3 linked regions of the Schizosaccharomyces pombe genome follow. The gene in region 2 interacts genetically with the main gene of each other region. Each region holds a gene or a part of one and is shown on either strand. Other genes may lie near its edges.

What was found.
Region 1: mutations in tma23 (region 2) and chp1 together harm fitness more than expected from each alone (negative genetic interaction), as found in Schizosaccharomyces pombe (2 studies listed by BioGRID).
Region 3: mutations in tma23 (region 2) and hos2 together harm fitness more than expected from each alone (negative genetic interaction), as found in Schizosaccharomyces pombe (2 studies listed by BioGRID).

What each region holds. Positions count from the first base shown.
Region 1 is NC_003424.3:2,211,362-2,218,862, forward strand, and holds the start of chp1 (heterochromatin (HP1) family chromodomain protein Chp1), read right to left. Parts: upstream 2,985-7,501; 5' UTR 2,499-2,984; coding exon 1-2,498. Other genes in the region: Rab11 family GTPase Ypt3, read left to right, coding at 4,454-4,880, 5,125-5,205, 5,260-5,396; serine hydroxymethyltransferase Shm2, read right to left, coding at 5,826-7,208, 7,355-7,438. UniProt on the Schizosaccharomyces pombe protein: Component of the kinetochore which plays a role in stabilizing microtubules and so allowing accurate chromosome segregation. Has a role in the RNA interference (RNAi) pathway which is important for heterochromatin formation and accurate chromosome segregation.
Region 2 is NC_003424.3:4,967,875-4,975,138, forward strand, and holds tma23 (ribosome biogenesis protein), read left to right. Parts: upstream 1-1,968; 5' UTR 1,969-2,017; coding exon 2,018-2,131; exon of another isoform or gene 2,132-2,212; coding exon 2,213-2,305; exon of another isoform or gene 2,306-2,369; coding exon 2,370-2,771; 3' UTR 2,772-2,863; downstream 2,864-7,264. Other genes in the region: gab1 (Pig-U family GPI transamidase subunit), read left to right, coding at 272-663, 891-1,725; OUT family ubiquitin-specific cysteine protease Otu2, read left to right, coding at 3,315-3,674, 3,721-4,263; SPOM_SPAC1952.04C (uncharacterized protein), read right to left, coding at 4,552-4,788, 4,978-5,048, 5,143-5,156, 5,370-5,461; SAGA complex histone acetyltransferase catalytic subunit Gcn5, read left to right, coding at 6,242-7,264.
Region 3 is NC_003424.3:3,166,067-3,173,567, forward strand, and holds hos2 (class 1 histone deacetylase Hos2), read left to right. Parts: upstream 1-3,604; 5' UTR 3,605-4,043; coding exon 4,044-5,348; 3' UTR 5,349-5,446; downstream 5,447-7,501. Other genes in the region: tif211 (translation initiation factor eIF2 alpha subunit), read left to right, coding at 390-459, 522-692, 799-1,478; png1 (chromatin modification-related protein), read right to left, coding at 2,125-2,976; phenylalanine--tRNA (Phe) ligase alpha subunit Frs2, read right to left, coding at 5,518-6,633, 6,702-6,791, 6,986-7,279.

The sequences.
Region 1 (7,501 bases), 2.8 Mb from region 2:
GGACTAATGAGTTCCAAAAGCCGTGGTGTTTTTATAAGTGCTGAGAGTGTAACAGATACCACCCCACCCTTAGGAAACATCGGTCTTAAGTACTGTGAATATGTCAACTTATCAAGGGGTTCATTGTTTTTCTTAAAGTCCGTACCCACGTGTGAATCATTAGGACTTTTGAGAGGGAGTGACAAACCAAATAAGAAAAATTTACAACTTTTCCTTTTCGCCAGTGTTAAAAATTGCAGTTGATCAAAATCATCCTCTAGTGAGACATTCAGGAAAACAAAAACATTCTGTGATAAAAACAAAGATTCCGGAATCTCGAGTCCTCGAAATGTCGGAATAGCAGCTTCTCTAAAAGTATCCTCCAATTCTTCTGCCTCCGGAGAAGGCTGTTTAGAGACAATTAAAATTTGTGTAGCTTGAAAAGCGCCTATTTTATGTAAATCGATGTGGCCTAATTGTAGTAAATAAGACAAGTAAGATTGGGATTTATGATATGGCTTTTTAGGCCTTAGATTTTTTGCCGACCATTCGACTAGGATTGATTCTAAAGGTTCAAAAATCACCATCCAAAAAGGGCTATTGCTTTGGCCTTGACAATCGTATAAATTCATTAAAGCATTATTATCCTCTGTAAATAATAATAATGTATAGTTACTACCCAGAACGATGCCAGCACCGTTGCCGCGGTTTAGTATATTTTTAAAGTGAGTCATATCAACATCGCTTCGAATACAAAGACTTCCGGAAAGAACTTTAGTCAAGCAAGTACCAAATACCTCGAGATATTGTGAAGTAACAAAACGTAAAACATCTACTTGCTTGCAACTGACTAAACTTCGTAACAACTGTTGATGTTCAGTTTCCGCCTTAAGCTTGGATATATCAAATGACAATTCTCCAGCATAGTAGAGAGATTTTCCGACTCGCAAAACGAATCTAAAATAATCAGACAATGTGCTTGCTGAAGAAAGATCTTCGGATTCGCTTATCGAATGGTGAAGAGAGTTATCCGAATTTAAAGTAATATTACCAGCCGGAACTACTTTGCTAGCTCCATCATTTTCAAAAGTTTGATCGCTTTTAGAAACACTGTTCCAGTCGTTATTAACAGTAGTCCAACTACTTCCGATAACACTTTTCTTAAGCTGCTTAGCATCTTCATTCGTCACGTTTACGTTGAAATCGAAATTTTCGTCCAGATCGACATTGCTAGCAAATTTTTCCGACTCAGAAAGGGTATCTGTTGTTGTTTGTGTAAAAGAAACGGACCTTGCATTTGCTTTCTTTGAAGGGGTTGTTTTTAAAATAGACTTTGAGACTTTACATTCTTCCATATCAGTTGATATCTTCCCTTTTACTAAAGTTACATGCCAACTTGGATGCCCTTTATCATACGCAAGTTTGGCTTGTTCGATAGAATCGAATTGAATGTAGGCCATATTACAAACTTTGTCTTTCTTTGGTGATTTGAGAAAAAAGACCTCAATATTTCCTTTGATAAAAGCAAAGTACGATAAAATATCTTGCTTCGTTAAAGAACCAGAATTATCACTAACTAATATCGTATGCGTTTCTAATTTCGGTGCTTCCTTTTTTATCTTCAAAGAGGAAGGAAGAGGAGTCGAATTGCTAAAAAATAATGAATTGGCAACATCATTATCGGAAGTTATTACTGGCGACAGACTTAAAGGGCTTGAATGCCTAAAGGTTGACAAGGGGGTGTTAGATTGTGGTGAATTCGCATTTTCAACAAAAGCGCCAGTATTTTCAAGATTGTTCGAATTTTGAATTCCGGGAACTGAGTTGTCAGAGTCACTGGGCATCAACATTGTGCTTTTAATTTCGCCATTTTTCAAAGGTATTGCATCGCTGGAGAGGCTTTTGGACAATAAAATACTGTCGGTAACTGTAGGCCACTCTGATAAGTAGAAAGGATTAACATCAGGGCTAGTTTCACCAAACGATGTGGATAGCGTGCTAGTTTTATCGGTCAAATTCCTCTCCTTCAATTCCCCTTGCATACTTTTTCTCTCAAACGCATCCTCATCCATTGTCTGATCGTCCTCTTCCTCTTCATCATTTGCGATGGTTACAATCCTTCGGGCAGGCTTCTTACGCATCTTTTTGAATTTTTCTTTGACTTTTTGAGATAATTGGGTAAGCTCGGATTTGCGCTTTTGTCTTTGTTGCCTCAATATCTCCTTTTCTCTCTTCATTTTCTTTGCCTCATTATCTTCCGCATCGAAAGGTTCAAGCAAGCCTTTAGCAATTAACTTTTTCCGTTTTTTCCATTTTTTAAGCACTTTTTCCGCACCGAATAAATTTTGTTCAGGTTCCCAAGTATTATCATACCAATCATAGCCAGCCCATTTTATATAATATTCGTTTATGCCATTTTTATTTACGCGGTCAGCAAGGATATCTTCCACCTCATAAACATCCGCGTCTGTCTCACCTTCATTCGAGTCAATATCAGGAAGTGGTTTAACAGATACCATTTCAAGGTAGCGGGTTTTTTGCTCACCTACGTGTCGCTAAGAGAGATTGAAGTATTACAACAAAAAAATATATAAAAGGATAAAGATATGAATTTAAAAAAAAAACGGAATTAAGCAAGATTGAATAGATTCCTTGACAAAACTATTAGCCAAAGTTCTTCCCTTTCAACTACTTTTATAGTTGCATGAAGGGCAGAGTATAACCTCTAAAATGGCTCAAATATTTCCCTTTTGCTTGTGATTTTTTTACCAATGGAACACAAGAATAACAACAGATAATTCCAGTAATGAAGCTTTTAGATGTTAGAATTTCGAAGTCTCGCTGCAATAAGCAAGATGGCTTATGCACTCGAATTTTGGAATCAAACAAAATCCGCGTGATTTTACCGTCGTGTCACCAACGCAAACCGTTAAATATACAAAAAAATAAGTTTTCGATTGGGTTTGGAGTTTTATTGCATTAATCAAGTGTGTGAGGTTGAGGTTGCAGATTTGAAGACACCTATGGAGACATATGTACTTTGAGAAAATACTCACTAACCACTAGTGTTACTAGTTGCATACATGAGGTACTAGTAGTCAAAAAACTTTGTTGGTAAATTGATAAATGTTTAAAATTTTCTCATTCCTCCTGAACTTCTAATTTTATTTTCTGGGTGGTTGTGTAAGTTAGAAAAACTTTAAACAAATAATGAATTTTGTTTTCAAAAAGCTACAATGAGTAGATTTTGAGCGCTGCAATTTATTAAACGATGCGTTTATACATAATACCTCTAAATGTGTTAACTCTATATAAACGAATTCAACACAACATATCATTCCAAAACTGGTAGTACAATAAGAAAAGTAAATAATTACTACGATAGAAAAAAATGATCGTGCCAAGACTCGAACTTGGGACCGTCTGCGAACTAGCATGTTAAGCAGAAATTATAACCATCTAAACCACACGACCTCTTTTGATAATTGCTTGCATTAATTTTATATAGAGGTTAACCAAGGGATCCATTTACTTATATTATTACGGAACTATGTTATTCGTTTTCCATGAAATGAACTTAATAAGAAAAACTGTTTATGTGCAGGATTTTTTTGTTTCTTGTTAACCCAAGATTTGCCAACGATAATTATTCGATGGATTACTCAAGTAACTTTCTGCATGAAGGATGCCTGCATGCCATGAGCAGCATCCAACATTGTATAACTTTTGCATAAAGAAAAAGATTTCAATTGAGCCGCCAATTTTATTCTTTCAAATTTTTAATTTCGATCATTGTGACCATTATAAAAGTGAGAAAAAGCTGCTGAAAAAACCGGAACTTAAAATATTCTTTCTTTGGCTAGATAACTTTGTAACTTGGAAATCAAAACATTGCTTTCAAAGAATTTCTACATCATTGTTTGATGCAGGACTAAAATGGGTATAGTACTGACTAATCGCACTGTAAAAACCCATACCAACCCGTCCATATCCAGTTTTGCGATTGGGTTCAATCGGTCATTCATATAATTGATAGTACTTGCATTCAATTGAGTACTTGCGCTTCTTTATATCAAAGGCATTTTAAAATGTTTACAAAATAGCGCTTTATAGTGAACAACAGCATAATGATTTTGATGATAGCAATCACTAAACGACACCAGCCTTCTCATGATTACGACATTCTTTGTAACGCAGTATAATTATTTAATGAATCATTGGAATGCGTTATATGCATTTTAACGGCCAGTGGCACTAGTGGACTTTTTTTTGTTACCATGATAAAGGATTATTACTTCCTTAGGTTTTCTGATATCCCTCTGCAACTTACCTACAACAAACTACGACTAAGTAAATTCTTCGACTATCGAAAGCAGGGTTCATTGTAATTTACAGGTATATACCTTGATATTATTTGACCTTAAATATTTGTTAACAAAAATTGTTCGTAGATTTACCGATAGAGAACTTAGCCATGTGTCAAGAGGACGAATACGATTATTTGTTCAAGACTGTGCTGATTGGGGATAGTGGTGTTGGAAAGTCAAACCTACTTATGCGTTTCACTAGGAATGAATTTAATATCGAAAGCAAGAGTACTATTGGTGTTGAATTTGCTACTAGAAATATTGTTCTTGACAACAAAAAAATTAAAGCACAGATCTGGGATACTGCCGGTCAGGAACGTTATCGGGCCATTACCTCAGCTTATTACCGTGGTGCTGTTGGTGCTCTGATTGTTTACGATATCACAAAACAATCTTCATTCGATAATGTGGGCCGCTGGTTAAAGGAGCTTCGTGAGCATGCAGACAGCAACATCGTTATCATGCTTGTTGGTAATAAAACGGATTTACTACATTTAAGAGCTGTATCTACTGAAGAAGCCCAGGCATTTGCTGGTAAGTAATTTTGTTGGTGAGATATGGAGTTGTTCGGACGGGAAGTAGTGAAACCGGCTTTAGCCGCTCTCACTTTATTCCGTTCATCGTTTTTAGCAATTTTGAACTGCTTGAAGCGTAGAAGATCTCTTTTTGTTTTGAAATATTATTCACCTTGTCGATTCCATTCTCTGTTTATTAAGCACATTTGTTTGCCTCTGATTCGTCATAATTTTTTGAACATAATTAACTAATGTTTTTACAGCTGAAAATAACTTATCTTTTATTGAAACCTCCGCCATGGATGCTAGCAATGTTGAAGAAGCTTTCCAAACAGTTTTGACTGGTATGTTTATTCGTACTTGCTTTGATTTCTTCAAGTTTTACTAATCTAGCGTAGAAATTTTCCGAATTGTCTCCAACAGATCACTCGAGGCTGGAGACGACGGTGTTCATCCTACAGCTGGTCAAACGCTTAATATCGCCCCTACCATGAATGATCTTAATAAGAAGAAGTCTTCTTCCCAATGTTGTTAGATGGTTATCACGGATTCGTACCATTATTTTACCTCGTTTCTCTTCATTTAAAAACTCCACCCCTTTATAACATTTAAGGTGCCTTATGATTATGAAATCTTTAGCAGGTTAGTCAACCATTTATTAGGGCTGTATCCTTTAATAAAGGGGTAGATATTTTGCCTAATGCTAATATTGTCTACTATGGATTTACCGTCCTTCTTTATACACGCTTCAGCATAATTTTATCCCCATTCCTATGCAGCATATAAGTGTAACACATTATTACCTCTGTTTATTATATGATATTTGTAGGGTTACTTTAATAGAGAATTTGTCCAGATATTTTCATTATTCATACAGCTCATGTTTAATTTCCATGATATATCCTTTATAAGAGAAAGTAACAGATGATAAGTATGAGATAAGAGCCAAAAAGTTAGAGACAGCTTAAACGGGGAAATCAAATTTTCCAGCCCAAGTTATAACTTCTTTCTTCAGTTTGGCGATTTCAGAGAATTTAGAACCATCACCCACATATGCTTTGAAGTCTCTAAACTTCGATTTTCCTTCCTTCAAAGCAGCTTCATTTATTTTCTTGGTCAAAGATACAACTTCATCAATTAGCTCTACCACTCTCTCAAAATCCTTCTCATCAAAACCGCGAGTAGTGCAAGCTGGAGTTCCCAGACGTAATCCACGTGGAATTAAAGCAGACTTATCTCCGGGCACAGTATTCTTGTTGGCAGAAATATTTACAAGCTCTAAAATACGTTCGACACGGGCACCATCTACACCTTTGTCGGTCAAATCAACAAGAACCAAGTGAGTATCCGTGCCACCTGAAACTAACTTATAGCCACGAGTAATAAATGCATTGGCCATTGCCTTGGCGTTACTTAGAACGTCCTTTTGGTATTGATAGAATTCAGGAGTTTTTGCTTGTCCAAGGGCGACAGCTAACGCAGTAATTGTATGATTATGGGGGCCGCCTTGATGTCCAGGAAAAACTGAGAAATTGATTTTATCCTCTAATTCATATAAAATTGGATTACCACGTTTATCGTGAGAACGAGTACCTTTTCGATAAAATATCATAGCTCCTCTCGGTCCACGTAAAGACTTATGAGTCGTCGTAGTAACAATATCGGCGTATTCAAACGGAGAAGGAATTACACCGGCAGCTACTAAACCGGATATGTGAGCCATATCACAAAGCAAATAGGCATTGCACATTTCCGTAATTTTACGCATACGCTTGTAATCAACGAGTCGTGCATAAGCACTAGCGCCTGCAACTATAACTTTAGGACGAAATTGTATCGCAGCCTTTTCCAAACTATCATAGTCAATAATACCAGTTTCCTTATTTACGTTATATGGCATGGTGGAAAAATAAGTCGAGACAGCTGAAATAGCTTTCTGGGGAGTAGAGAAACCATGAGATAAATGACCGCCATGGGGTAAATCTAAACCCATTAGGCGATCGTGTGGCTTCATTACTGCTTGATAAGCCTGTAAGTTGGCCGGAGACCCAGAATGGGGTTGTACATTTACTCCCCATTTTTCCCCATCCAAATGAAAAGCTTCTAAAGCTCTCGTTTGACATAGTCTTTCAGCTTGATCTATAAATTCATTACCACCATAATATCTTGCACCAGGATAGCCTTCACTATATTTGTTTTGCATAATACTTCCGAGTGCATCCATCACAGCTCTTGAAGTAAAGTTTTCGCTAGCAATTAAAGCTATCGACTCTTTCTGACGGCTTTTCTCAGATTCCAAAATCTTATACACTGTCGGATCACATTCTGCCAATGGTGCTTTGAGTAACTTAATTATCGTTAGAACTTTATTAGAACACTTCATAAATCATTTGAGCAAGTCAATCTATCGCCTGTTGATAGTAGCAAACAGCACAGATAGAAAATACAGTCATTGCTTGCTCCAAAAAAGCGCGTTTAAATAAACTTCTTTACCTTTTTTTGATTAGCAGAAAGCGCATAAAAGCGCTTGGGAATTGAAGAGTAAGAGTTCTTGACGAATTGACGAAGAACTGCCATTGTGGTGATAGGTAAGGTGTCCTAAAACTGAAAGATAAAGTTGATAAAATTTAAGTAGAACTT
Region 2 (7,264 bases):
ACCGAGTGCTTCAATACCATAATTTCTATACCAGGTAACTTATGTTACTCAACCTGTGGTAGTGGTATGAACGTGTAAATATTAACCTAAAACACTCTTCTCGTTTTAAAGAAAAAATAAAGAAATAAAAAATTAAAAATCTTACTTTGGTGGCTGCCTTAAAAGTTTTTCAAACGGATCATTTGGGATACCCAACGACTGTAATTTAAACGAAGATTGGTGAATTGAAAACACAAATATAACCCATCTTTTGAACAGTGAAGATTTTGCAATGATACCAAATGAGAAGCTAAAACTATTAGGTTTATTATCAATTTCTTTTTTTCTTCAATGGTATTTAGCAAACACTTGGATTGCTGAATTCCTTTACAGGCGAATCGAAGTATCGACGCCTGTATCCGGATTTTTACGTGTTCGTGAAGGACTTTACTTGTATGAAAACGGACTAGACCCCTATTCTGGTGGTGTTTTCTATCAGTCTCCACTTCTACTGATCTTAAATTATTGTTGTGAGTTGCTTGGAGGAATATCTGTCACCAGATTTGTTTATACTAGCATTTCTACTATGGGAGGTCTCTTTGTGTATTTAATTGCAAAACAAGCTCGTGTTTTAGACCCAAATCAAGTACTATCTACTTGTTCACCATTATGGATTTCCGTCATGTAAGTTACGCATATGGCTTGCGACAAAAAAAGTGAGACATTCTTCAAAAAAATGAAAAGCATTGTATCGTTGGTTTACAAAATTGTTAACGATGACTGTTCAAAGATTGAACTGCGTTGATTACACAGATTTCGTAGTCGATATTGAAAATGTGTACTTCTGTGATATATTTGTGTCGCAAACAAGTATCCTTAACTCAAAATTTACTAACAAAATATTACTTTAGTTATCTGCTTAACCCATTAACATTTCTTCCAGGAATTGCTTGCTCCGCAGACATGATACTTAATTTCACCACTCTAATGACCATTTATTTCGCCTCTTGCGGATCCTATGCAATTTATGCATGCTGTATGGCATTGACTGTATTCATTAATCCTAACGCTTTACTGTTATTTTTCCCCTCCTATCTTATTTTAAGAAAATGCAATTCATCCATTAAATTTCGTCAGATATTCGTTGTTTTTCTTTTTTATCTTGCAGGTCTGATAATAACTTCAGGCTTCTTTCTGAACTCGTTATCTTTTTTGAAAATTCCATTTAGGGTATACTTGGACTCTCATGATCTAACTCCGAATTTGGGTCTCTGGTGGTATTTTTTTACAGAAATGTTCAATGAATTTCGCACATTCTTCCTTTTTGTATTTGCCATTTTACCATTGATGTTTGTTCTCCCTGTTTCGATCCGTCTTTATTATCTGCCCTTGCCTATTACTATTGCTCTTATTGGCCTGCATTCTTTATTCAAAGCTTACCCAAGTATTTGTGATCTTTCAATATTTTTATCTCTCCTCCCAATTTTTAATAAAGTCCAAGACCGAATGCGATATAGCTTGCTTACAAATAATGCTATTGTGTTTGCGCTTGTACTGGGATCTGCATTTTACCATTCTTGGATAACTCTTGGATGTGGAAATGCAAATTTTTATTACGCAAGTAACCTCATTCTTGCTCTTGGACTCTCTTTAAAAATCATGGACTTTCTCAAGGCACTGCTTTTGGTTGATTGGTATGCCAATCACCCACAGCATGAAAATATTCCATTAAAACAGGTTCAATAAAGTAATCTGTTAATTAGAAAATGATATTCTTAGGCTTCATCTATCCAATTTCATCATTAGAGCCTCACCTTTCTGACCTTACGAAACGACCTTTTCCAATTTAACGTTTAGAAATTATTTATTCATACATACAAATAGGAAATTTATATTTCATATTTTTTTCCTTTTCCGAGACGATTCAAGGACTTTTTTTATTTTTTTTCATATTAGGTATTCATGGCATCCCATGGCACTACTCCCTTTACCACGAAGTACCCATGAAAAGTTTTATGCAAAACTTCATCAGCCATTGATGTTTAGTTCCAAAAGATATTTGAATTCCTTTGGTTGGGAGGAAGGAAACGCTTTAAAAGAAGGAGGGCTCACCAAACCAATTTTAACTTCTAGAAAATATAATACTCATGGGGTATGTCAGAATAAAAAATCTTAGAAAAAGATGGGTTTTTTCAGTAAAGTTATGTATGAATTTATTTTTAACACACGGTAGCTTGGTGCTAAACATGATATTGCTGATCAATGGTGGGATAATGTTTTTTCTGCTCAACTACAGTCAATTCAAGTAAATACGGACAACGGAAAGGTAAAAACAACTTAAATATACAATTTTTCCTATCTCTTTTACACAGTGCTAACATTTGGAAAAGGTTGCAGTCCAAAGCAATGGTGTATCTACAAAATTGAGAATGGCAAAATATCACAGCAAATATTCTGCTCTGTCTTCTGTGTTTCGTTATGCTGGTCGACTTTGTGGTACCTTTGAGGAAGATTTAGTTGATAAGAGTCTTGATTCCTCTGTTTCTCCAGTATCGTCCAAGAAAGTCAAAGTCAGAAAAACTTCTGGCAAAGAGTCTTCAAAACGAGAGAAGTCCAAAAAGAAAAAAGAAAAGAAGGAGAAGAAGGACAAGTTGAAAAAAAAATCCAAGAGATTAAAATTAGATGATTCTCATACTCAAAAACGAAAAAGAAAGGTTCGTGACAAAGAATCAAAAAAATCGTCTAAAAGTGGACTTAAGAAGGTTTCGGGTACTAAAAAGGTAAAGGCTTAAAAGGAAAGAAAAATCGTTTGCCTAGCTTTAAATATGAACAAGAATTGGAATTCTTTATTTTACGATTCGTCCAGAAGTCTTCGAACATCCAAACAGCAAGTTTTCTAATTCTTTGAAGTTTCAAAAACACACTTTATTTAAAGCTTTTTATTTGTTTTTCTTGTAGTTTCATTTCGTTTATCAGCGGGCATACATTTGTTGAACGACGGGGTGTATTATATGGGTATCAAAGAATTTGGTATTTGGAAACAGGAGTCTAATTGTATATAAATAATTAATAAATTATTAGAATTGAATTGTTTTACAAATTAAATGATGTTTAATAGGATCCTAGTAAAGAATATATATTTTATTATAAAACTCTGCATTGGATGATTGAATGTTTACAAAATGAATAAAAGGCTATGCATGGAAAGGGAATATTATACTATGTAAATATAATGTCTAAATGAATTAAATTGGAAGCATCGAATGAGATGTCCATTAGCATATTATTACACTCAAACTACCATACCAACTCAACAAAAACGAAAGTCTAAAAAAATGGAGGAATTGTTAAGTAAGCAACGGGAAGAATGTAAAGAACTTCAAAGCAAAATTACAAACCTTCGTAAACAACTAAAGGAAGGAAATAAAAAACAAAAAAGGGCTTTGCAGCAAAAAATCTCACAAATGGAAGCCGATTTATCACAAAAACATGCTACAGAACGACAAAAATTGGATAAAGGCGATGAAGAGACAAATGAAACGCAGCAAGAAGATCTCCTCAATACGCTTTTACAACAGATGGAAGATACGAAAATTACGACGGCAGAAAAATCATCAGTTCAGTCCTCATTGAATACTAAAGAAAATACACCGCAACAGCCTAAAAAGTCTAGGAATAGACAAAAAGAGCGACTTGTAAGTGCTTAACTTTTGACGAATTATCACTAACAAAGTTAATTAGGAACGACGTAAAGCAGAGATGAAAAAAATGTCTGAGCAGGCAGAGCTAGAGTCAGAAAAAATGGCTGATCTCAAAAATGAAGAGAAAAAAAAGTTTTCAAAAATCCTTGAGGAAGCTGGACTTGTTGCAGTCGATATACCAGCGGATGGAAATTGTTTATTTGCTTCCATTTCACATCAGTTAAATTATCATCATAATGTTAAACTAAATAGCCAAGCTCTTCGTAATAAATCCGCTGATTATGTATTAAAGCACTGCGAACAGTTTGAAGGCTTTTTGCTAGACGAAGAATCTGGAGAAGTTTTGCCAGTATCCGATTATTGTAACGAAATTCGAAACAATAGCAAATGGGGAAGTGATATTGAAATACAGGCATTAGCAAACTCTCTTGAGGTTCCTGTTCATGTCTACAACACAGAAGGTCCAGTTTTAAAGTTTAACCCCTCAACGGTCAAGTTCGAAAAACCGTTGTGTATAGCATATTACCAGCATTTGTTTGGGCTTGGCGCTCACTATAATAGTTTATTATATCGGGACAATTAAAAAGATCTAATGAGATGCTTTAGATAGGTTTTTATCCTTTGGTTTATTAGCTTCCTTCCTCGCCGGAAACCATTTAAAAAGGCTGTGCCTTACGAGTTAGATTATATGAATAATATTTATGAATTAAAACTCTTCTGTATTCTATTAATCAAAAAAAAAAATTAGCCATTATTATCTATCATATCCAGTCATATAGTATGCACAATAAATATTACCAAACATGCTTAGAAAGCTTCATCAGGGAAGCATTAGAAACGGTAGAACAATAAATAGAATTAAGGTAGAACATTACTTGTAGCTGTAAGGGGGTGGTGCCTCATCACTTTTTCTTGGAGGCGGTATATGTGGTTGAGGACGAACGTTAGGAATATCGGTTTGTTGCGAACTTGAGCCAGGAAAAAATGCATGCTGTTGAGCACTCGCCTCAGGTCTTTCGGGAGTAGGAAGATCTTCACGCCTGCGCCTTTGATCAATCATGGCCGAATCTACTGGTTCATACCACCCACAATGAGAACAACGAAGTACCTGCTCTGAGTTAGCAAGTGAGTGCTTATTAGTTGGACAGCAAAATAATCCCAACTTTCCCTGGAAAGCATGTAACATTGAAGATTGAAGAATGGCTTAGAAAATAACAAACAAGGTCTGTCAGGTTTCCAAACAATGATAAGTAGAAAGGGTCAACTACATAACATATGCTTTCTTGAATTCCCTTACCTTACTCGTATAAACCGGGAGAACAGGCAAAACGATGAGTGCTAAAGATTTAACCAAACGATATACCCGAACTAAAAACCAAAGTTTTACGTTAACATTAATAAAACAACCCAAAGAAAGAGCAATTGCCTTCATGCAACTACACCACTTATATGTGTCTCATACCAGTTTTATTTTGGCTAAAAAGAAAGTATTAGCAAAAAGTGCTGATGAAAAGAATAGAAGGAAAACAAGAAGACTGCTAGAAACTATTTTTAAATGACAAATTTTAATAAAAAACAAGTGCGTAATTTCTGAAAACAAAATGTTTCTACAATTGTTCCATTTCCACTTCGCCATTTAAACAATGTACTCAATCCACTTGTTTTAACACTAATTCATTGATTTCATACCATACAGGACATGTCAGTAAGACGTGCTTATATTTGCTATTGACTTTCCATATGTCTTGAACATTCAGCGGTATCGGCAAGAAGAGGAACATCTCACGTTAAGAGTCTTAAAATCTTCTTTAAAAAAAAAGAAAAGAAGTTGGATATTATAATGAATAATTCGAGTTAAATCCAAAATATTCGTTTTAGCAGAGTCACTCCATTAGTACGTAGACTAAGCCTCACAGTTAGTGTAATATCACAGAAAATATTTTCGTTAGCTTTATCGCTAAATACATAAAAGAATATCATCACAAAAAGAGGTATTGCTAACGAACTACGGTGCGTCTCTATATTTAGAAGCAACACCAATAACTTCAAAAAATGAAAGCAGAAAATTCGTAGAGAAGAAATTTTCTAATCTTGCATCCCAAGTCAAATCATGTATTTGTGTCTTTAATTAGTAAATATTAGGATAATCGTTGATTTGAAGTATTAAAAAATTGATTGTATTTTGGAGCGCAAATCTGAGATTTTTTTTATAGATTAAAAAATTCTCCTTGATACGGTCATTTTCGGTTGACTTGTGTTCAAACTCTTTCTATAAAAAGAGGTTCTTTTTCTAAGAGAATCCCTGCCGAGTTTCCTTAAGTTTTAGAAAGGTAAAGGGCTGGTCGACGTCTTTTCACATTGTTGGTGCCAAAAACAAAATTTTCGAGACAAATAACTGGGTTCGTGGTGTATATTTTAACAAATTATCGTTTATTTTAATTTTCTGTATTTCGTTATTATATACCGTTTTTTCGTGCTCGTTTCATCTTGTATCGTTCTTGACAATTTCTGTATCTTCACTTTTTGGATTTATTTGTTTGGATGCGTGGCATAGAATAATCATGTCGAATTCGTTAAATGATCAAACACGACCACCCGATTCAAGTGTTGTAGACAGTACATCTTCCAACTTTCCAAATGCGTCAAACGATAGTGTACATGATAAACCGGTAAAACAGGACGAACAATCCAATCCAAATGTTCGCGAAGCAATTGCTAATTCCGATGGACAAGAATCTTTAGCTGTAAAGGAAAACAAGGATACGGAAAGCTCATCCTCTCATTTCGTACCTAACGGAGTTTCAAATTCTAAAAAGAGAAAGCTCGTGGCTACAGATTTAGATGTTGATTTTGATATTAGTAGTGTACGAGTTACTGAAAAGCCATCTGTATTAGAAGAAAAAAGCGGCGTTATTCAATTTCGTGTTGTTTCTAACGACGACACCGCCGACAGTATGATCATGTTGACTGGTTTAAAAAACATATTTATGAAACAACTTCCTAAAATGCCAAAAGAATACATTACGCGGCTAATTTATGATCGAAACCATCTTTCAATGACCATTGTCAAAGATAATTTACATGTAGTGGGCGGTATTACTTATCGTCCATTTGAACAACGAGGATTTGCCGAAATTGTATTTTGTGCGATTGCTTCCAATGAACAGGTTCGTGGTTATGGTTCTCATTTAATGAATCATTTAAAGGATTATGTCCGTGGAACTACTACAATTCAGCACTTCTTGACATATGCAGATAACTATGCAATCGGGTATTTTAAAAAACAAGGATTTACTAAGGAAATTACTCTTGACAAGTCTATATGGGTTGGCTATATTAAGGATTACGAAGGTGGCACACTTATGCAATGCACCATGATTCCAAAAATAAAGTATTTAGAAGCTAATCTGATTTTGGCTATTCAGAAAGCTGCTGTTGTTTCCAAAATTAACAGGATCACTCGGTCGAACGTTGTTTATCCTGGTTTAGACGTATTCAAAGATGGTCCAGCTCATATAGAGCCGTCTCAAGTTCCTGGGTTGATGGAAGTTGGATGGTGCAAGGAAATGGAAGAGCTCTCCAAA
Region 3 (7,501 bases), 1.8 Mb from region 2:
AATCAATTAGACAGAGTCTTCTATTCGTAAACTTTCCAATTGTAATTTTCGTTTGAGGGAAAAGAAAGTTTAAGTATATTATCTGTAATTCTAAACGATGTAGTAAACTAGTAGTTTATTAAACACTTTAGTTTATTAAATACTTTACTGCTAGTTTATTCAGCGTTCGGCTGGTAAGCCAGTTATCACCGATCGTTATGTGCTTTTAGATACTAATAAATCTTCTTTAAGGAAACTTTTTAAATATAAAGAATAATTATTGATAAACAGTTAAGTTAAAATGACCAATGTCTGGGTTCTGAAAAGAAGCAAAATTGGCCCCTAGAGTTTAGAAGTGGGTAGTCCACACAAATTTTTACTCAGAACCAAACACTCAACACTTTGCAAAAATGTCGACGACAAGCTGCAGAATGTACGAGAATCGCTTCCCGGAAGTGGATGAACTCGTTGTTGTCAACGGTATGTAAAAAATGCACATGTTGTCTGTCTAAAGAAACGGTAATGGCTAATATTTCCAATAGTTCGTCAAATCCAGGAGATGGGCGCTTATGTAAAATTGTTGGAATACGATAATATTGAAGGAATGGTTTTGCTCTCTGAGCTTTCCAGACGTCGTATTCGTTCAGTACAAAAGCATATTCGCGTTGGTCGTAATGAAGTCGTCGTGGTCTTACGTGTCGACAAGGAAAAAGGTAAGAATTTATTAGTAGTTTTTTTTTTTTTTTTTTTTAAAAAAAAGAAAAACAAAAGGGGAAAAAAGGTTTATAAGTTGTTAGGAATGTACTAACCAGGATTAAGGATACATCGATCTTTCAAAGCGCCGTGTTAGCCCTGAGGATGTTGTAAAGTGCGAAGAACGCTTCAACAAATCTAAGGCTGTTCATTCCATTATGCGCCATATTGCTGAGAAGCATAATGTTCCTTTGGAGACCATGTATACCACAATTGGATGGCCATTATACCGCAAATATGGACATGCTTATGACGCCTTTAAGCTTGCTATTAGTAACCCAGATCATGTCTTTGAGGGTTTAGAACCTCCCAAATCGGGTGTTATTAATGATTTGTTGGCTCAAATCTCTCGTCGTCTGACGCCTCAGCCCATTAAAATTCGTGCTGACGTTGAAGTCACTTGCTTTGGCTACGAAGGTATTAACGCTATCAAGGCCGCTTTGAAGGCTGCTGAAGATGTTCATACCGAGGAGGTTCCTATCAAAGTTAAACTTGTTGCTCCTCCACTTTACGTCCTTTTGACAAACGCATTAGATAAGTCATTGGGTCTCAAAAAGCTAGAAGAGGCAATTGGTGCAATCGAAAAATCCATTACAGCATCCAATGGTACCTGTACTGTTAAAATGAAACCCAAGGCGGTTAGTGAAACTGACGAATTGGAGCTTGCCGATTTGATGAAAAAATTTGAAAAGGAAAATGCTGAAATCTCTGGTGATGAAGAGGATGACCAAAGCGGTTCTGAGTAAATGGATTAGACACTAGCTAATATACGCTTTTTCATTGTGAATTTTTGGCACTTTAGTGTTCCATTATAATCTGGGGTTCTTTTTATTTTGTACTATACACTTTATCAAATTTATCTAGTGATATCTATGGTTAAAAAATTTCCTCTTCTTTTTTCCGAATGCGTAAGAGTTCTTTTATATGTTACGAGATAATATGAAAACGCTAGACGCTGCATCTTGTTCCTTTGTATGTACAATAATAAGTTCAGTTCCAATATAGTAGAAATAATGGACAACAAATGCAATTACAAATAATAAAGTTACAAAAGACTTATTACTGTGGTTAGCTACGGCGTGTAATATCTGCTTTGGGGAGGATTGGGGAAATTAAAGAACTGAATTTCTTAATGTACAAGTAATCTGGTACTTATTATGTGAGTGAAAAACAAACAAGGACAAGAATAAGATAAAAAGGATTCGTAATCGTGAAGATATGATTAATAAATTAACCATTTTGCAAATCACATATACACAGCTTGAACAACGTATAATCAAATATAGTAAGTTCGGAACAGGTGAAAAATTAGCGGATATTAAAGCCCAAAAAAAAACAACAATGCTTGCATTCAATAATGGGAAGACCAACAGACTTTAGATTGGGGAAAAATTACTTAGCATCAACAAGCTTCTGATCCCTACAAGCTTCGCAATACCATGTACCTTCAGGAGGAGCTTTAAGACCAACACACTCCATATGGAACCATTCACGCTCACAATTAGCATTGTCACAAGCGACCATTTGCCCATATGATCCTTGCTGGCAAAAACAATACTTTTCATTATCCTCTTCCATATCTTCTTCTGAGACCATTTCATTCGGCGTTGTGGAATCTGCCTTAGTTTCTAACTGGGTGGTTGCAGTGGCATTCGAAACCTTCTGACCGCGAGTTGAACCAGAATCTGCCAACGAAGCCGTATAAGGAGAGTGATAGACTCCATTTTGAATTGCACCCCTGGTAGTTGCTGAAGTACGACGGCGACCAGCTGTTGAGGCTCCCGACCGAGAAGGGGCCGGTGTTTGACGAGCACTTGAGGCACCACTTGGACTGTATCCACCATACGGTGAAGAAGCATAGTAGTCAGGAGCATTTAACAATTCCGCAGCTGTAAATCCATGACCGGCCTTTGCAAGTCTATCATCCAATCGCTTTATGTGCCGTGTAAGTCCCAATCTGGCACGATCCGCCAACTGGACTTTCTCGTTCTGTATATTAATTGCCTTTTGATACTCCTCGCGAATCGTCGAATACAAAGCATCTTCTTTTGGATGTGGGGTCAAGGAACCATGTGATTTAATGTATGACTGAATCTGAGAATCAGCTGCTTGAATTCTCTTCCAGATGTCATGTACAGCAACTTCCTTCACACTAATTTCGTCAAAGATGTGTTTTGTTTCGTTGGGAACATTATCCAACGTTTGCAAATACTCACTTAGTATGTAAGCTGTATCATCTGCCATTATTCTCAAATTGAAAATTATAGATACGTTCTAATTTCCGCTTTATGCAAAAATTATTATTATGATTTCAAATTCCAAAAGAAAGGGAGATTTGAGTCTTTTAAAGAGATAGGGAAAGTTGATATTCCACTAATATTTTCGATACTTCAATAACTAATGAATAAAAGATACTATGACTTTATCTTTTAAAGTAGAGGAATGTGACAATAAATGTACAAACGAGAAGGACAAAGACACTAATTGAAATAATATATATGAACCTATGGCTCGTTTTTGTGTCGTTTAAAGATTATTTTTACACTCTCTTAAGCTGCTGAAAATTTTTCCGGTTGTTTATAGTAGCCCACATTTGGTGTTGAGTTCCGCCACTCCATATAATGTAAACACAGTACTGGAAGGCAAAGAGGGCGAAATAAAAACATAAGAATTCACGCAAACCAAATCACTTTGAAGATAAATCTTTTCAACGTATGTATGATATCTAAGTTGCCAAATTGTCTATGAATTCACATGCTAAAGGTTACCATCTGTTTAAGTAATAACGATACGTTATTAATGTGTTAGTTCATATATGGAAGCATAACATACTAAACTACACCTAAGTTGGTAGCTTCCTTCTGTGTTCACTGAGATATACATTTTTAAGTTATAAGAATGAACCAGCACTAGCAATTCTTCAAAAAATTGTAAATCCTATTTGTTCTTGTGTTTATGGGCTTCAAAGAGTTTGAATTAACGCTTTGTTGAAGTTGTACATTTTATCTAATAAGGTATCGGGTTTAGCGACCTTTTGCTACGTATTCTGCGCTCGACGTAAAAATAAAGTATTTACAGTTCGTGTTGCTGTTTATTATTTGGATTGAATTCTTTTCTATAAAAAAATCTGGGTTGTTTTTCGATTTATATTAATTTGGCATTGGTCAATAACTTTCATTTCTCTTGTTTCTTCTGAAACAGTTATTAATTTGTTTCTTAATTTTATTTATTCTTTTCTTGTTCTTTCTTTAGAAAAGATATTTTCATTTAATTTGTCTCGCGGTTTTTTTTAGTATAATAGTCTGTATATCATGGATACTCCTGAGACATCCACACCTTATGAACAAGTTGAAAAGGGGTCTTTTTTTAGCTTTCGACCTCAAAAAAAGCGTGTCACATATCACTTAGATGAACAGGTGGGAAACTACCACTATGGTGACAAACATCCAATGAAGCCCCATCGAATTACCATTACAAATCATTTAGTGATGGGTTATGGGTTGCATAACAAAATGAGTGTATTCAGCCCCCGGATGGCAACTTTTGGTGAAATGTCAGAATTTCATAGGGAGGATTATTTGGATTTCCTTAAGCGCGTTACTCCTGATAATGCTGAACAATTTGCTGATAAGTTCCAACAATTCAATATTGGTGATGACTGTCCGGTCTTTGACGGCACTTATGAATTTTCTCAAAGGTCGGCAGGCGCTAGTTTGGATGCTTCTCGGAAGTTAGTGCAAGGTCAAACAGACATTGCTATCAATTGGAGCGGTGGTCTCCATCATGCAAAGCGTGGTGAGGCTAGTGGATTCTGCTATGTTAATGATATTGTTCTAGCAATTTTGAACATGCTACGGTTTTTTCCTCGCGTTTTGTATATCGATATCGATATTCATCATGGAGATGGTGTGCAGCAAGCATTCTATGAATCTGACCGCGTGTTGACGGTTTCTTTTCACAAGTATAATGGTGATTTTTTTCCTGCAACTGGTAATTTTGATGAAAATGGCGTGAAAGGAGGGAAATATTTTGCTTTAAACGTTCCTTTGGAAGATGGTATTGGTGATGAACAGTACACTAGTCTTTTCAAATCCATAATTGAACCAACTATCAATACTTTTCAACCTTCTGCAATTGTCCTTCAGTGTGGTGCTGATTCGCTTGGTTATGATCGGCTCGGCGTGTTCAATCTGAGCATCCATGCACATGGGGAATGTGTTAGATTTACCCGTTCATTCAATATACCCATGCTTGTAGTTGGAGGTGGTGGTTATACTCTTAGAAATGTTGCTAGAGCGTGGTGTTATGAAACTTCCATATGTGTAAACGAACAAATACCTTCAGAATTACCTCGTGAAACTTTGTATTACGAATTTTTCGCACCAGATTACACCCTCCATCCGCGATTAACCACGAAGATAGAAAATAAAAATACACCGAAAGCTCTTGAAGATCTTCGAATACGGGCCTTGGAGCAATTACGTTACTTAGGAGGAGCGCCAAGCGTTCAGATGCAGCAAATTCCACCAGACTTAACTGGGCATTTGGAAGAAGAAGACGAACGGTTGAATGATGAATACTTAGACAAAGCTGTGGATGTTCGCGTTCGAGGCTGATATTAATGAATTTTCGACTTTTTATTTGATATCCGTACAAACATCAAATAATTTTAGTTAATGTTTATAGACATTGTAAATATTAATAATTGACCCTATACGAAAATACGTTTACCATAGTGATTATGTATTATTTTTATAAACGATTATGCAAAAAAAAACACTAAATTTATTCCTCTTTGTCTAAACGAACTGCAGGGCTAGCCTCAATTAGGTCCAAGTTAACCTTAGGACCAATCAATTGTCTAATGTCGGCCACACCATATTTGATCATAGTGGGGCGCTCTAAAGAAAGACCAAAACCTAAACAACGAACATCTTTAGGTAATCCCATAGGCTCTAACATCTCCGGACGGAACATGCCGCTGTTTCCGACTTCAACCCACTTACCAAGCTTTTCGTGGTAGGAAAAGACTTCCAATGAAGGTTCAGTATAAGGATTATAAGCAGGTTTGAAGCGCAAATTTTTAACGTTCATTTTTCCAAAGAACACCTCAAGGAAACCGATCAAATCACCGAGGGTAATATTTCTATCGCAGATTACGCCTTCGACTTGATGAAATTCGGCAAGATGAGTTGCGTCAACGGTTTCATTGCGGAAGACCCGATCAATTGAGAAGTATTTAGCAGGGTGAAAGCCATTTTGGGCAAGTTTGTACAACATATTCGCCGAGACAGCAGTAGTATGAGTACGAAGAACTAGTTTACGAGTTTCCTCCAAGGAAAAGGGAGCACGGTATCCAATGCCCTTAGTCTCACCACCGTTTTCGTGAGTGGCCTTTACTCGAGCAACATATTCGGGATCTGGCAATTTATCAGTAGAAGCAGGAACTTTCAAAAAGAAAGTATCTTGAGCATCCCTTGCTGAATGTTGTTGGGGGACAAATAAAGCATCAAAGTTCCAAAATCCACTTTCAACAAAATTGTTGGTTGGCATTTCTTCAAAACCCAATTCGAAGAAAAATTTACGGAATTCTTCACGTACTTTCATCAAAGGATGAAGACATCCACCAGCTGGAGGTATACCTTCAGCTGCAAAGTTGTAAGATTTAAACTTGGCACTTTCCCATGATCGAGAGGTGATCATCTCAGCAGTTAAATCGGTGTTCAGTTTTTCAATTTGAAGCGAGAAATTTGGACCTTTCCTCAAAGAGAAGTACATAATTTTGTTACGTTCAACAAGCTTTCTCTTCTTCAAATCAGTTAACGTCTTACTGTCAGAGATAGTTCCATGTTCCTTAATTTCACTAAGGACCTTAGGGGTCTCATCTGTAATGGAATCAGTCTGGTCAGTTAGTAAATAAAATATTGCATAACGTTAAATCAATTTGCACTACTATAACTTTGCCTTACATTTTTAACAAGCTTGTCTCCATCTTTCTTAATCCAACCGAGTTTAAAGGCTCTTCCTTGACCAATACCAGCCGAATTCCCCAATTTTTTCTAAATCAGTTAGAAAAAGTACAAAAAAACTAAAAGGCAGACGTAGCGATATGAAAAGGTGTTGCATCAAAACGCGAAAAATCGAAAATGCAACATAATGCTAGAAAAAAAAAACTAACAATATTTACCGGGCGTTTAGACTTAATTATATTTAAATGCTTCGTCGTTCACAACTACGATTCCAATGACTTTACCTTGAGTTCCCCAATATTTAAACCGCTCATAGAAGCGCAAATTTCATTATAAACTTTGGCTTCATGAGAACCATTTGCGCAAATGTTTTCACCCTCTGCAGTCAAATTGTAAATTTCAATTTCATGTCTTGAAAATTCAATCATGTTTTTAGCAGCTAATGACAAAATCGCCGATTGAGCTTCTTGAGGACCTAACTTCTTCCCATCGAATTCCAAATGACTGGTGTTTGGAATTTCATTTTTTTCGTTTAGCTTTTCAAGCAGGAAAACTTGAAGGGCTTCAAGCTTTGACATCTTACAGCTTTGTTGGTGTGTTGGCAGTAGGTAAAGTAACTGGCGATACGCGAGTGCTACGGTGAAACGGTGAGCATCGGATTCAAAGCACTACACATTAAGCCGTCGTTGACAAGTTTATGTTTTATGTACTACTAAAATTTATATATGGTAAGAGCATACAAATTATGTCAGATAGAAAATGTTCGGGACATCCTAATTCAGATTATCCATCTCTGTTTG